Oryctolagus cuniculus: one gene and its partners. The main gene of each other region encodes a partner of the protein of the gene in region 2 in a complex. Links are inferred from orthologs where the notes say so. Each region holds a gene or a part of one and is shown on either strand. Other genes may lie near its edges.

Evidence for each region. Proteins that work in one complex are often made in the same cells at the same time.
Region 1: DNAAF10 (region 2) and UXT share a complex: the UniProt entries of both Homo sapiens proteins name them as parts of the PAQosome complex. The link is inferred for Oryctolagus cuniculus from reciprocal best matches to the Homo sapiens genes DNAAF10 and UXT.
Region 3: DNAAF10 (region 2) and ASDURF share a complex: the UniProt entries of both Homo sapiens proteins name them as parts of the PAQosome complex. The link is inferred for Oryctolagus cuniculus from reciprocal best matches to the Homo sapiens genes DNAAF10 and ASDURF.

Annotation. Positions count from the first base shown.
Region 1 is NC_091453.1:33,164,127-33,168,832, forward strand, and holds the start of UXT (protein UXT), read right to left. Parts: upstream 3,391-4,706; 5' UTR 3,363-3,390; exon of another isoform or gene 3,186-3,362; 5' UTR 3,177-3,185; coding exon 3,079-3,176; intron 2,157-3,078; coding exon 2,075-2,156; intron 1,902-2,074; coding exon 1,834-1,901; intron 1,562-1,833; coding exon 1,454-1,561; intron 1-1,453. UniProt on the Homo sapiens protein: Involved in gene transcription regulation. Acts in concert with the corepressor URI1 to regulate androgen receptor AR-mediated transcription. Together with URI1, associates with chromatin to the NKX3-1 promoter region.
Region 2 is NC_091433.1:134,467,233-134,471,445, reverse strand, and holds part of DNAAF10 (dynein axonemal assembly factor 10), read right to left. Parts: intron 3,443-4,213; coding exon 3,312-3,442; intron 306-3,311; coding exon 204-305; intron 1-203. UniProt on the Homo sapiens protein: Key assembly factor specifically required for the stability of axonemal dynein heavy chains in cytoplasm.
Region 3 is NC_091434.1:50,691,163-50,696,127, reverse strand, and holds the start of ASDURF (ASNSD1 upstream open reading frame protein), read left to right. Parts: upstream 1-1,575; 5' UTR 1,576-1,773; coding exon 1,774-1,863; intron 1,864-3,318; coding exon 3,319-3,372; intron 3,373-4,401; coding exon 4,402-4,477; intron 4,478-4,965.

The DNA of each region.
Region 1 (4,706 bases), on a different chromosome or scaffold from region 2:
CAGAGCCCTCACATTTGTTCCATCTGAGCCCTGTTTGCCTTTCTTGGCAGTTTCTCCAGCAGGCCAGGTGCACTGCTCCCCTTGCTGGAAATGCTCTTCTCCAGACAGCCCCCTGGCTTGTTCATTCAAATAACTCAAATGGAACCTCTGCTGGGCAGCCTTCCTCAGCTGCATTTCAAACCCAATTGTCCTTCCTTATTCAACAACTTAAAACTCAAATGGAGCCCACCCTTTCTCTCCCCATCACCACCAACATAGATCTGTTCCATTCACTGCTTCAGTAATTCATTCAACAAACACAGAGGGTCTGCTACCTGCTGGGTAGTATTCTAATCACCTGAGGTCTAGACAAAGTTTCTCCCTTTGTAAAGCTTACATCCTAACTGGAGGAGATGATATGTATGAGTAAGAAATAAATTACACAGTAAATATTAGCAAGTGACAAATGCTAGGTAGAAAAGAAAAAAGAACAAGAGAGGGGAATCAAAGACTACTAGGGGTTGCAATTATATAGTTAGGTTATGAAAGACTTTGTTGAGGAAAACACATTTAAGCAGGACAATGGAGTGAGGAGAAAAGAAGCCACAGGAGTACTGGGGAAAGAGCACTGCAAGCAGAGAAAACAGCCATGGCATCTGCCCTGAGGTGAGAGCATTCTTGGGACATTTAAAGCAGCATGTGCAAGTCACTGTGGCAAGAGCACAGCAATGAGCAGGAAAATGAACATGTTAAATTAGAGGTAACCTGTTTTACTGTTACTGATTTACAGGCTGAGGCCTCATGGATCCGGTCATAGTTGTATTTAGGTCTAATAATACAGTCCCTCTAGAATGTAAGCTCTCAAGAAACTCTTCTGTCTTGTTCCCTGGGGCATCTCCACTGTCAAGCACAGAGTGTGGTAAACAGAAGATGCCCAATATGTTTGTGTGAATGAATGATACAAAGCTCCCTTACTGGAGTGTTTATTATGTGCTATACCTGGGGCTGAACTTTGCATCCCCTTTCCTCAGCTACAGCCCAGAGGAGGAACGGAGGTAGGTCTCTAACTTAAGGGAGAAGAGTGTTGAAAATGGTGGGGTGTTGGGGCCAATGCAATGGCACAGGTCAATCCTCCACCTGTGGCGCCGGCATCTTATATAGGCACCAGTTCTAGTCCCGGTTGCTCCACTTCCAATCCAGCTCTCTGCTATAGCCTGGGAAAGCAATAGAAGATGGCCCAAGTGCTTGGGCCCCTGCACCCACGTGGGAGACCTGGAAGAAGCACCTGGTTTCTGGCTTTGGATCTGCGCAGCTCCAGCAGTTGCAGCCATCTGGGGAGTGAACCAACAGAAGGAAGACCTTTCTCCCTATCTCTCCCTCTCACTGTCTGTAACTCTACTTCTCAAATAAAATAAATAAATTCTTTAAAAAAATGGTGGGGTGTTTTAGATACTACCTTCAAGAATGCACTTACTGTGTGAGGAGTGAGCTCTTACGATCAATGAACTTGAGAGCTTCTGCCAGTGTTAATTCCAGGAAAAAACCATATCCCAGGGCCACATAGATGCGTGAAGTATCTGAGCTGAGGAGAGAGAGGTTAGAGGAAGTGGAAGACATCCTTATTACTGTTTATCATACCATACAGTTTAGTTAATTTTTTACTCCCTCCCCTTCCCCAAATTGAGACTCTGGGAAGACAGGGACTTTATTCTATTTTATTTCTTGTCATATTCCCAGTACTTAGGTTATGTCCTAAGGTATGTAAAATCTAGCACAGTGTTTGGTACATAGAAGATGGTAAAAAAAAAATATCTTGCATGAAGGAAGGGCTCAGAAGGGCGGGTAGACACTCACACCACTGTGTCAACGAAGAAGTTACAGCCCAAATCCACCTGCATATATAACTCCGATTGCTTAGCTTCCTGTGGGGCCAGGGAAAAAGAGGTAGGGGTCAGTGGTCAATTTGTAGGTCAGGTGACAGGTTTTGGTCTAGGGTCTCTCTTCTCAGTTCCTTCCCATGCTCCCCCCATCACACACATACCAAAACCAAATGAAAAAAAAAAAAAAAAACAGTACCCAACCATGATATATCTACCTGGAGTCGTTCAATGACATTTCTTAGCTGAAGGTATTTGGCCAGCTGCTCATATACCTTGTCTCGATGGTCCAGCACCTTTCTGATGGGACAAAAGTACAAATGGTGACCAACAGGCAGCTTTGTCCTCCTTGGGAAACCTTATACCATGATTCTTTGAGGTGCTCCAGTTACCATGCTCTAAGTAGGCCTTTTAGTGTAGAAGTTAAAATTCTGGACACTGGGTCAGACTGCCTGGGTTTGAATCTGGGTTCTACCCTTTGCTAGTGGTGTGACTTCACTAAGTAAACTGTTCTATATGCAGTTTTCTCATCTACAAAATAGGAGTGGCATTCTAACCTCACGGAGGCACTGGGATTAAATGAATGTTTACTATAAGACACTTAGAATGATGTCTTCCAAATGATAAGCTTTATATACGTGTTAGCTCTTACTATTATTACACTTTACTCCCAAATGTCAATCTCTATGTCTCATCTTCACCCTAGAAAAATCCTCCACCCCTTTCGGGATGCTCATAGTCTAAGCCTTACTTCCTGCTCAGATTAGTAATAATAGCTTTTCACATTCCTTGAACCTTTAACATATTTCAGGCATCACACTTTTTTAAACTCAACCACTGCATGAATAAGGTTCCGTAATAAACTTCCTCATTTTACTGATTTGAGAAATTTATAAGGCACAGAAAGGAGGGGCAAGGTGCGATGTTTACACGGATGGCAGGTAGCCGAGCCAGAACTCAAACCCCAGAACTGTGGATCTGGAATTTGGCCCTTAATCCATTAAGCAACATCGGGACCGCGCATGCGCAGACACGCCCTATGAACGCCACGTCCTAGCCAAATCGCACCCCGGAAGTCGCTCCTCCTTTCCCCTTCGAATGGCGCGTGGTGACGGGCTCCGAACGTCTCGCCCACCAATCTGAAGGCTTGGCCCCCGACTTTAAACGCCCCACCCACCACGTGGACTATTCTGAAGGCCCCGCCCCTCTCGCTGTCACTCACCGCAAGTCCCGCTGCAGCACGTCACTGATGAAGGCCTCATAGCGCAGAACTTTCTCTCCCGTGGCCTCAACCACCCGCCCTTTAGGGGGCGTCTCCATTATGGGCTCCTGGGGAATGAGCAGAGGGAAGACCACGTTGACCACTTCAGTATGGACTCATGCAGGTCATCTCCACCCTCTCAACGTTGGGAAATGGGCACGTTCGGGTCCTGCTGGGGGTTCCGCCTTCTGCCCTTCCCAACTCTAGGACTCGGCCACCCAGGGATACCAAAATGCGGCCCTTACCTGAGGGCCGCCGGCGATAAGAACGGGTTGGTATAACCGCGGCTTCCGGGTGGCGCGGGTGAATGACGTATAACAAGCGCGCTGACCAACCAAATAAGCAGGTGGGGAGGGGCGGTCCTGAAAGGAAGTAAGACCCGCCAAGGGGAAAAAGAGAAGGTCAGGGCTTTACTGAATCAAAGGAGATCAGGTAGGACTGTAGGGCGTGGGAGCAGAGATCCTTTGGCAATGAACTAGCCTATTGGAAACTGCACAAGCAGCGCGTGGAGCCTGTGGGGACTGTTCGCGGCTTTTGTGGATTTGGCGGTTTCCAGGGGAGGTAGAACGCACAGGTGGAGGTAGAGCTAGGGAATGAAGCGTTTAGTATTTAAAAGGCAGAGCCTGGGAGGCGGACAGGCAAGTCACATCTTGACTTCACCCGAGAGGTTCGCGTTTCACTCCCGGTGATGGGAACGAGTATGAGCATTTAAAAACTTTTTAATGGAGACGCATTTTTCTAGAATTCCTCTTTGAGGATTGCAGCTCTGTGGCCCACAATCTATGACTGGAGCTAAGCAGAGATTGGCAATACTATGTGTAAGCATCTCATTTTATTAGTCAAATGGAGGGTCCCTGAGTCGTTTGCAAAAGATCTGCTATTTTGTACTTAGGAATAATCCCGTGTGTTTAATTAAATGGGCAAGCTTTTTCTTTGTATGCACTCAAGTGATTGAATGCCTGTATTTTGCATCTTTAGCATCTAACCCAGCAAGTCCTGGCCTGAGCCCAGAGGAGAATTCAGATGCTCGCACCCCCAAATGCTATTCCCATATCTAGAGCCTAGAGTCCTTACCCTTACTTGTGAAGTCTTCCCAAGTAATTTGCGTGTAAAAGTTCGGTTGTCCTTTCCAAATTCTCAAACCTGTTTGTTAAGCTTTTCTTTGCCTTCAGGAAAAAGTGACTGTAAAAGGAACATTGAGTTTTTTTGTTTTTTTTTTTTTTTGTTTTGTTTTGTTTTGTTTTGACATGAGAGTTCTTTTAAAAGTTTGTGGGAAAATAGAATTAAACCGTGGTTAAGTCCCTGCTTGGAACACTAGCATCACATGTTGGTGGAGTGCCTGGTTCGAGTCCCAGCTCCTTCACTTTGGATCCAGGTTTCTGATAATGCATACCCTGGGAGGCAGCAGATGATGACTGACATAGTTGGGTCCCGTAAAATATGTAAGAGACTCAGATGAAGTTCTGGACTCCTTATTTCAGCCTGGCCTAGTCCTTGCTTTTGCCAGCATTTGGGGAGTATCCCAGAGGATAGAAGATCACTCTGTCTGACTTTCAAATAAAATGAAAATAAATAAATAACGTAAAGAA
Region 2 (4,213 bases):
CTGGGGCCATCACTCACTGCCTCCCAGAGTACGCACCAGCAGGGCTGTATCTCTGCCTTTCAAATAAATAGGAAATAAAGAATTTTTTTAAATTAGAAAGAATAGCCACAACACAGCTTGTCCAGAGACGATCAGGAATCTTCTGAGGCTGTGGACCTTTCACCATCTGATCCTTAAAACCCAAGCGTTGCTCAGTAACTCACCAAACGCCACAGTCCAGCAGTCTCTCTTGTGTTCCCCTTGTACAGGCTCCATGTTAGCAACAGGGTCATCTTTCTGCCTCGGGTCCCACACCTTCACAGTTCCTGTCATGGATAAAAGTAAGGTGGCAAAATGCATTCGGGAATGGTCATGTTTCTTTCCCACATTCTCTTCCTATGGCCCCCTGTGTACATGGCAACAGTACAGATGTTTATGACGTCTGAAAAATATTCTAGTTTCTCCAACTTCTAATTAGTTTGAAGTATGTATTTGATATCAAAGATATGACTCCTATGTTACTGTCTGACTTGATTGCCAAATTAATGGACACACAGAAAAGCAACAGCTGTTCCTAGGTTATCTACAAGCTATTGATCAGGCAAACACAAATGTCACATAATTCAAATCATGCCCTCTGTTCTTTGAGCCTAAAACAAACTAATGTATTATTTAGAATTATACTGGTGTCATTTTAAAATTTTTTCCTTACTATCTGTGTAATCACTGATGCTTTTTAAAATTTTATTTTTTAAAGGTCAGTTTTGATTTGAAGGGGAGGTGGGGGGTAGAGATAGCTGGAAAGATGGATGGATGGATTGATAATCTTGCCAGGCCAAACCCAGGAACCAGGAACTCCACTAGGATCTCCCAAATGGGCGGCAGGGCCCGAAGAGCCATCCTCTGCACAGTAACAGGAAGGCAGGCATCCTCTGCACAGTAACAGGGAGGCAGGCGTCCTCTGCACAGTAACAGGGAGGCAGGCGTCCTCTGCACAGTAACAGGGAGGTGGATCCAGAGCCGGGCAGCAGGGACTCGAGCTGGCCCTCCAGTGTGGGATGGCAGAATTGCAGGCAGCAGCTTAGCTTGCTGTGCCACAACCTTTCTTACACAAGGCTCCAACGTTTCTTACACAAATGAGTATACTCTAATGTTTACTCTATGGTTTCTATATGGGGTTTTAGAGTATTACTTCATGTAATACTCTATAGAGTACTATCCTAATATTATTTTAATAGAGAATTACTTCATGTGGGAGACCAGGAGGAAGCACCTGGCTCCTGGCTTTGGATCTCATATGGGTGCTGATTCTAGTCCTGGCTGCTCCTCTTCCCATCCAGCTCTCTGCTATGGCCTAGGAAAGCAGTCGAAAATGGCCCAGGTCCTTGGTCCCTGCACCCACGTGGGAGACCCGGAAGACGCTCCTGGCTTCTGGCTTCGGATTGGCACAGCTCTGGCCATTGCAGCCATCTAGGGAGTGAACCAACAGATGGAAGACTTCTGTCTCTACCTTTCTCTGTAACTTTCAAATAAATAAAATAAAATAAAATAAAAATAAATAAATAAAAATAAAATAAAAGGCTGCCTTAAGAAGAAAAACATTTCTCACAAATGTTAACAAGAGGTTATCTTACACTGTAAGGTTTATACAAATTGATAAGATGTACAGTAAGTGTCCAATAGCTAAATGAACAAAGAATATAAACAGACAACTCACAAGCCAAAACCAACTAACAAACAAAGACAAAAGTTAATACAAGTTAGAATGGAGTACTGTTTTATCTATAAAATTATGGGAAAAAAGGAAATCAATGCTACTAGGGGAGGTTGGAAATCTACTTCATGTATTGTACCTGACAACGTCACAGATACTTTGGAAAGTCTAACACTAAATTTTAAGAACCATAAAATGTTTATTCCAAAAGAGTTACATAAATGACAACAATCATTTCTTCATTACTTTTAAACCAGTCTCACAAAACAATAAACTTAAAGTACACTGAATGCTTACCAACAGTGGCATGGGTAAGCACATTGACACAGTCATATAATGGAATATTATAGTTCTTAAAATAATACGAAAACTGGAAACAGCAGGATTTATACATGACAAAACATTAAATCAAAAAGGATATGAAATTATATTCATACTGCTAAATATACAAAATGGTATATAAAACTGGAAAGGCAAATAAAAATCTAATGGTTGGGGCAGTGTGATAAATTCAGTATTATTTTGCCTTCTATGTTCCATATTGCTTTTATGATTGGAAGAACAACTGATTTTCTTTTTAAAGATTTATTTTCTTTCTAAAGATTTATTTTCTTTATTTGAAAGGCAGAGTTACCAAGAGAGGGAGGAGAGAGAAAAAGAGAGGGGTCTTCCATCAGTTGGTTCATTCCTCAAATGGCCACAACGGTCAGGGCTGGGCCAGTCCAAAGCCAGGAACCAGGAACTTCTTCTGGGTCTCCCATGTGGGTGCAGGGACCCAAGCATTTGGGTCATCTTCCACTGCTTTTCCAGGTGCATCACAGGGAGCTGGATCAGAAGTGGAGCAGCCAGGTCTCAAATCAGAGCCCATATGGGATGCCAGCATTGCAGGCAGTGGCTTAACCTGCTATGCTACAGTCCCCGTCCAGAACAACTGATTTCTAAAACACAACTGCTGTTAACTATTTTAAAATGATATATTTATATTTTAAATCAGTTTCCTCATGGTCTTGAATAGTTGTTAAAAAACTAGTCCAACCAAGGTACCGAGTCTCTCGTGCATCCCTCACGAAGCCATACAAACTGCGATTTGGTCACAGTCATTCCAACCAGTACTGGCCACAGCAGATGAAAAAGGCCAGGAGTGCCCTCTATCACGCCCAGTGCGGGGAGCTCGGAGCGCCCTTGGAGGGCTCTACCACACCCAGCACGGGGAGCTCGGAGCCTCAGTTTCCAACCAGCTGTCAATATGACAATTTTCACAAGTACTAATTCTGCTTTTTAAAAAAAGAAAATGAAAAGCTGCCACCCACATTATATCGTCAGCTGCCTCAAAAACCTGTAAAGACATTTTAAATCCTTCAAGGTTCAGAGCAAACTACCATTGTTAGTTGAACTAACTTGGTACTAAAATAGTGCGTGCTATATGCCTCTATCTCAAAATGCCCCAAAGTCTGAAACGACTGAGGGATACGCCATCCAAATTGCCTATGAAAAGAGCAGAGGCAAAACTGTTGATGTCATGGTCAAGGCAATGTGGTAGGGACGGGGAGGGGATTGCCATATGGACAGCAGGCTGCACAGAGACTTCGTTTTAGACGCACAGACTACATCGACTCACCATCTCGACTGCCAGTCACAATTTCAGGGGCTCCTTCGCCGACTCCCAGTCCACCCACCCCATCAATGGTGTTGATGATTTCTTTATGGCCCTTTACCGAATACACTGGCACCTCTGGGGCTTCCAAATTCCTAGACAACAAACACAGCCTCTTACTTACACAAACCTTCAATTCCACTAATAAAATATAAGAACACACATCATACCCGGATTTTTGTTTAAAAATAAAGGTTCTGCCACAAAGGTAACTTACATACTTCTAAATTTTTCTTTCCACTTAAGTGTCTTTTAAGTGCCCAGTGAGAACTGTGATTATTAAGCTTGGAACTCACATGCCTGAGCCCATTTTACCTACTGCTCTTCAGAGAGGATCTATCTAGGACTTCCGCGTCGGAACCACCAGGTGGGCTTGTTAATAACTTCAGGTTCACAGGCTTGTCCCTAGACATAATCAGTCAGGATCTCTAGGATGGTCCCCAGGCTGCTGACTAGCTGGTTCCCTGAAGTTTGATAACCAGTGCTTCAAACAAGGAGTGCATCCAAAGTGATTTAGGCTGTTTCCAAAGTAGGCCTGGGTGGCTTGACCTTGAACCCCTTTTGAAGGATATGAGTACTATCTATGTTGTACATGTTTCTTCCTTCACTGTGCATTATTATTTTCTTATTGATTTTCCAGATTGACACAGTATGAATTTCAACGTCTCATCATACTGCTTACAACGAATACAACAGCAGGCCAGGCTGACCTTTGCCTACTTCATAGTTCAGTGAGAGGCATTCAGGAAAGGTGTTCAGCCTGTCTGCTTGCTTCTACACTGCAGGGGAAGGTGATGAGCACTTGGCCAGGCTGCACTCATCCATACCTTTCTTGCCTCCCGGTGTTTCCTTCCTATTTCAATTTT
Region 3 (4,965 bases), on a different chromosome or scaffold from region 2:
GACAGTAGAAGATGGCCCAAGTCCTTGGGCCCCTGCACCCGCATGGGCGACCTAGAAGAAGCTCCTGGCTCCTGGCTTCAGATCGGCACAGCTATGTCTGTCGCAGTCATGTCATGTGGGGAGTGAACCAGCGGGTGGAAGACCTCTCTCTCGCTCTCTCTCATTCTCTCCACCCCCTGCCTCTCTGTAATTCTGCCTTTCAAATAAATAAATAAATCTTTATAAAAAATACCCATTCTATGGCAAATAAAAACAGGGGCCTGCGCCGTGGCTCACTTGGTTAATCCTCTGCCTCGCAGCGCCGGCATCCCATATGGACACCAGATTCTGTCCCAGTTGCTCCTCTTCCAGTCCAGCTCTCTGCTGTGGCCTGGGAGGGCAGTGGAGGATGGCCCAAGTGCTTGGGCTCCTGCACCCTCATGGGAGACCAGGAAGAAGGCTCCTGGCTTCGGATTGGCACACCACCGGCCATGGTGGCCATTTGGGGAGTTAACCAACAGAAGAAGGACCTTTTCTCTGTCTCTCTCACTGTCTATAATTCTACCTGTCAAAGAAATTAAAAAAAAATAAAGAAGCCTGTTCTAAATTTCAGATAGACAGATACATGGAGAAACATAAAAATTTACCAGTCCAGACCTCATATAACTTTTCTTACTAGAAGACCCGATGAAAGATATGCTAGGGCTTAAAAAAAGCCACCAAGTACATCTATTAAGTCACACAATTTGTCTACATCTCATAAGTGCACTTAAGCATCTCCATAGAACATCGTGATTCCCAACACTGGAATATAATTTTCAAATATGTGGTCTCATATGCAAATATAAAATAAACACATATCATGGTTTTATTTAACTCATTAGTAAATGAGGAAACCAGTCAGATATGAAAATCAATTCAAAGAGCATTTGAAAAGCAAGGAATTTATCAGTCAAGAAATGTCAGACAGGACCTCAGTGTTACATACATAACTGATTAATGTCTTCCAGATAATAAATCATAACCTTGGAAGTATCTTATTGACCTAGTAGAAATTATTAGCATTTTTACCAGTCAAAAATCCACACGTTTGCCTCTGCTTTTGTCCCCTGCCTGCACCAGGTTGTAAAACAGTTCAGTTCATTGAAAGTCAATCCTAGAACAGCACTGAAAGAACATCAGGTAATCTCTTGCCTATTTCCAACTTTTGGTCATTTTTTTTTTTGCAAGAATGAGACATTACAAATATTGCATAGGATGTACACTAATAAAAGTATTCATTCACCTGAAATTCGTATAAAATTGTATTTAGCTGAAAACCCTAGTTACAAATTAACAAAAACTTTTCCAATTCTGTAGGGTTCGGTTGCCAACATTGTGTCTATGAAATCTGTGCTTTAGTTCAGGATCTGACTGGTTAATAACTAATTGGTGTTTCTACTGCGCGTCTGTTCTTTATTTGCACCAATAGGGGGCGCGTGTAACTTGTAGTCCAAGAGCCCACAAAAGTGTTTCTACCTCCGATCCGCTGGGGGTCGGCGTATGAATTGCTTAGATTTCGCAACCGGGCTCGAAACACTGGCGCTCTAGGCATTTGTGCGCATGCGTAGAACCGCTCTTGGCGAGGGGGCGGGGGCGTCAGGCCCGGACTGCGCAGGCGTTGGAGTGAGCGCGCGGAGGAGGTTGGTGAGACCTCTGCAAGGCAGGTGACGCTGCCGGCGCTGTGGCTGGGGCGGTCGGTGGTGGGACTCTCGGGAGCTCTGGTGAATCCTGCGTGTCTGCGGCTGGTTGGAGATGCCCGGCCGGGGCGTGCACCCGGAGGACAGCGCTGTGCCGGTCCCCGCCGGCGGCCGGACCTTACACAAGGAGGATCTTTGCAACAAGGTGGGCGTGGGACGCAGCGAGCAGGCCTCCCGGGCTTAGGACCCGGCGCCTGGGGCAACCCAGAGAGGGCCGGCCGCGAGCAGCGCGGGGCTTCGCTGGAGACGGCCTCGGCTTGCGCTGCTCTGCTGTTGGTAGCAGTCGGCACTTCCCCTTCCCTGGAAGTAGTCGCGCTAAGCGTCTTGTGGGCTGAGTTTCCGCGGCCCTTCCAGATCTGTAGCTCACCCCTTCCGTTACCCCTGCCAGCGGCATGGGCTCATCCTTGACGTCGGTCTACACCTGAAACCCACTTCCGGTACGAGTGTGACTTTAGTCCCGAGGACGCACGCTCCTGCGTCCCTGAACGAGCCGCCCTCATCGGCTGCCCCGGACCCCCGCAAAGGGCTCCCTAGCCCACCTGCTGCCTTCTCTGTTCCCCGCTGTAGCCGCAGTGGCCGCCCTAAACCTCGCACATCTGATTGTCACTCATCTGCGGAGAAAGAGGGGGAGGGGAGCCACTCTGATACTGACCTGAACTGCCGGAAACAGGTGCAACCTTTAAACGTGTGGAGGAGGGAGTTCAATGTCCTGCATTCTTCACTGGTTCTGCTCCAAGCTAGTAGTGGTGTCTTGGACAGACCTCTCTGTTCTCTCTGCATCACAGCTTCCTTCTTTGGTGGGAAGTGAAATACAGACCTGACATCCCTAAACTGCACAAGAAAGCACTGTGGTACAAGCGTTAAGTCTCAAAGAGGGGGAGGGTATAGTTTCAACCTTGGAAGTCAGCCTTATCCTGTCCCTTCTGCAGCTGTGTCAGCTCTGGAGACAACAAGGGGGAGACTCATGGGGCAGGGAGTGAATTTGCAAAATACAGCCCACTCTGCTGCCGACCTATGGCAGATCCCTCAAGTGTGTGGTGCAGTGTAAAAATCTTACATCTGGTTTTAGAGGCGCTGGTGATGTTAGGTAATAGATCGTGTTCATAAAATAGCCAGTTACTAGAAAGTATCAGAAAGTTTGCACTTACTTGAGTTCTCTCCTGAAATTGAAAAGTGAAGCCAGCACTGTGCAAAGAAGATTGATGCCAAGACAGGGGGATTTAGAACTACTTGGTTAAAAGGACTGTCTAGCCGCACCATTTAGTACACAAATCGTCAGAGACTGGTATTACTTCTGGTGCATATCGTCTGTTTGTATAGGCCTTGTTCAGTAACTGTGGCCACAGGCATGAAGGCCGGTTGCCAACATCAAACCCACTGGCTGGGCTCCGTGGGTTGTGTGACATTTAGATGTCTAATGCCCATTTCCCCCTCCACCTGTGCACACATAGACTGGAAAGAATCTTCTCAGACTGCCCATTTGGACAATCAGCGCATGATACCTTCTTACGCCATCTGCCTAATTTTAAAGCCGTCATCTAATTGAACATGTTTTTAAGAGTTAAAATTCTGTTTTAAGCGTTTCTCTTTATTTCAGTAGATTAAAGAACAAAAAGTCGTTGTGGATGAACTTTCTAACCTGAAGAAGAACAGGGTGAGTTATAGAAATTCTGAATAGTATGTGGGAAGCTTGGTTATATTTATATTATATAAAATCATAAAAGTTGTATGGAAGGTTTATATAAAGGTTGACAAGTTTTCGGCATCTCTTTAAATTGCAAAAGCCCAGTGCCTACGTTTATTTTAAACTGTACGTACATAGATCTCATAAAGCTGAAGATGTCTCTTCCTTTTCATATGCCATTTACACGACCTTTAAAGCTAATGACGCAGATTGGATTTTGGTATCTTCAAGCTGTACCACTAATGTAACTATTTTATGCTTGAATTTGGTGTGTATTTTTGAAATAAATGAACTTAAAGTTTATTGAGAAGAAACTATCCCTTAAAGTAAATGTTGAACAAAAAATTACTTCTCTCACCGCCCCCCCAAAATCTTCTCAGTGCTTAGCATTATTTTTAAATGCAATTTCTGTGTATATATTCATAAGCAAGCCATCTTTGTTGCTTCATGTGTAGTTATACATTAAACTACATTAAAATTACATTTTAATGTTCAGGAGTAAATGACTTTGAGCTCTTTCAAGCGCCTAAAGATTATAACTGACAGATTAGACATTTCTGATATTGTTGCCAGCTACAAAGATGTCCATCACAACACTGATCTATAATACTTGAGGGACAGTAATACCTTAAATGTCTAACATTTGAGGATTGAGCAAATAAATGTAGTATGTCATACGATGATATTATAAAGGAATACATATTGATAAGAAAAAGTGTTCTTGATATAGTCATTGTAAAACTATAGATGATAGTAGAAGCCTTTTTTATTAAAATAACAGTGGTATTATGGTTTACAAGGGAAAAAAACAAGTTTCACCTCACTGGTAATGATAATAGTGTCTGGGTGGCAGGATGGTTGGTAACTTTTATTTGTCTCTTTGTTATCTGTATTTACTAAAGTAAATTCCCAAAGTTTACAAGTATGTAGTAGTAGGATTCAAAGATTTGACATCTTTTTAGATCATATCTTGAGTTTGGCCTAAATTCTGTTTTGCAGAGAGTATACAGGCAACAGCAGAACAGCAATATATTCTTCCTGGCAGACCGCACAGAGATGCTCTCTGAAAGCAAGAGTAAGTTGGGTTCCTCTTTGTTTTCAGACTTTACATGAGGGGTGGGGAACATCAGCCCCTTGGCTGCATAAGGCCCACCAACTCATTTGGTCTGGTCCTGCCAAGGCAACTGTAAGTGAACTCGAAATCTGATAAATCTATAGCAGGCTGATTTTTAAGATGATGGTTTTGTGTGGCCCACAAATGAAGTTATAAATGTCCAAATGGCCCTTGGCAGAATAAAAGTTCCCCGGCCATGTCTTACATGGGAAGACACAAAAAGTCCTTTTTTGACTCATAGTTGTGCCTCAGTTGTACTGTCTATATCTGAATGTTTAAATATTTCTAAATACTAGTGCAGTGATTCAGTTTTCTTCTAGTTAGTCTTCCAATGATGAAGCTACAGTAAAAATAAATAAAAAAATAAAAAATCTTTAGGATGTGTTAGAAAGCAGTCATCACTAACATGTACTTTAGATCTGAAAACCATTCTACCACTTTTTACCAGT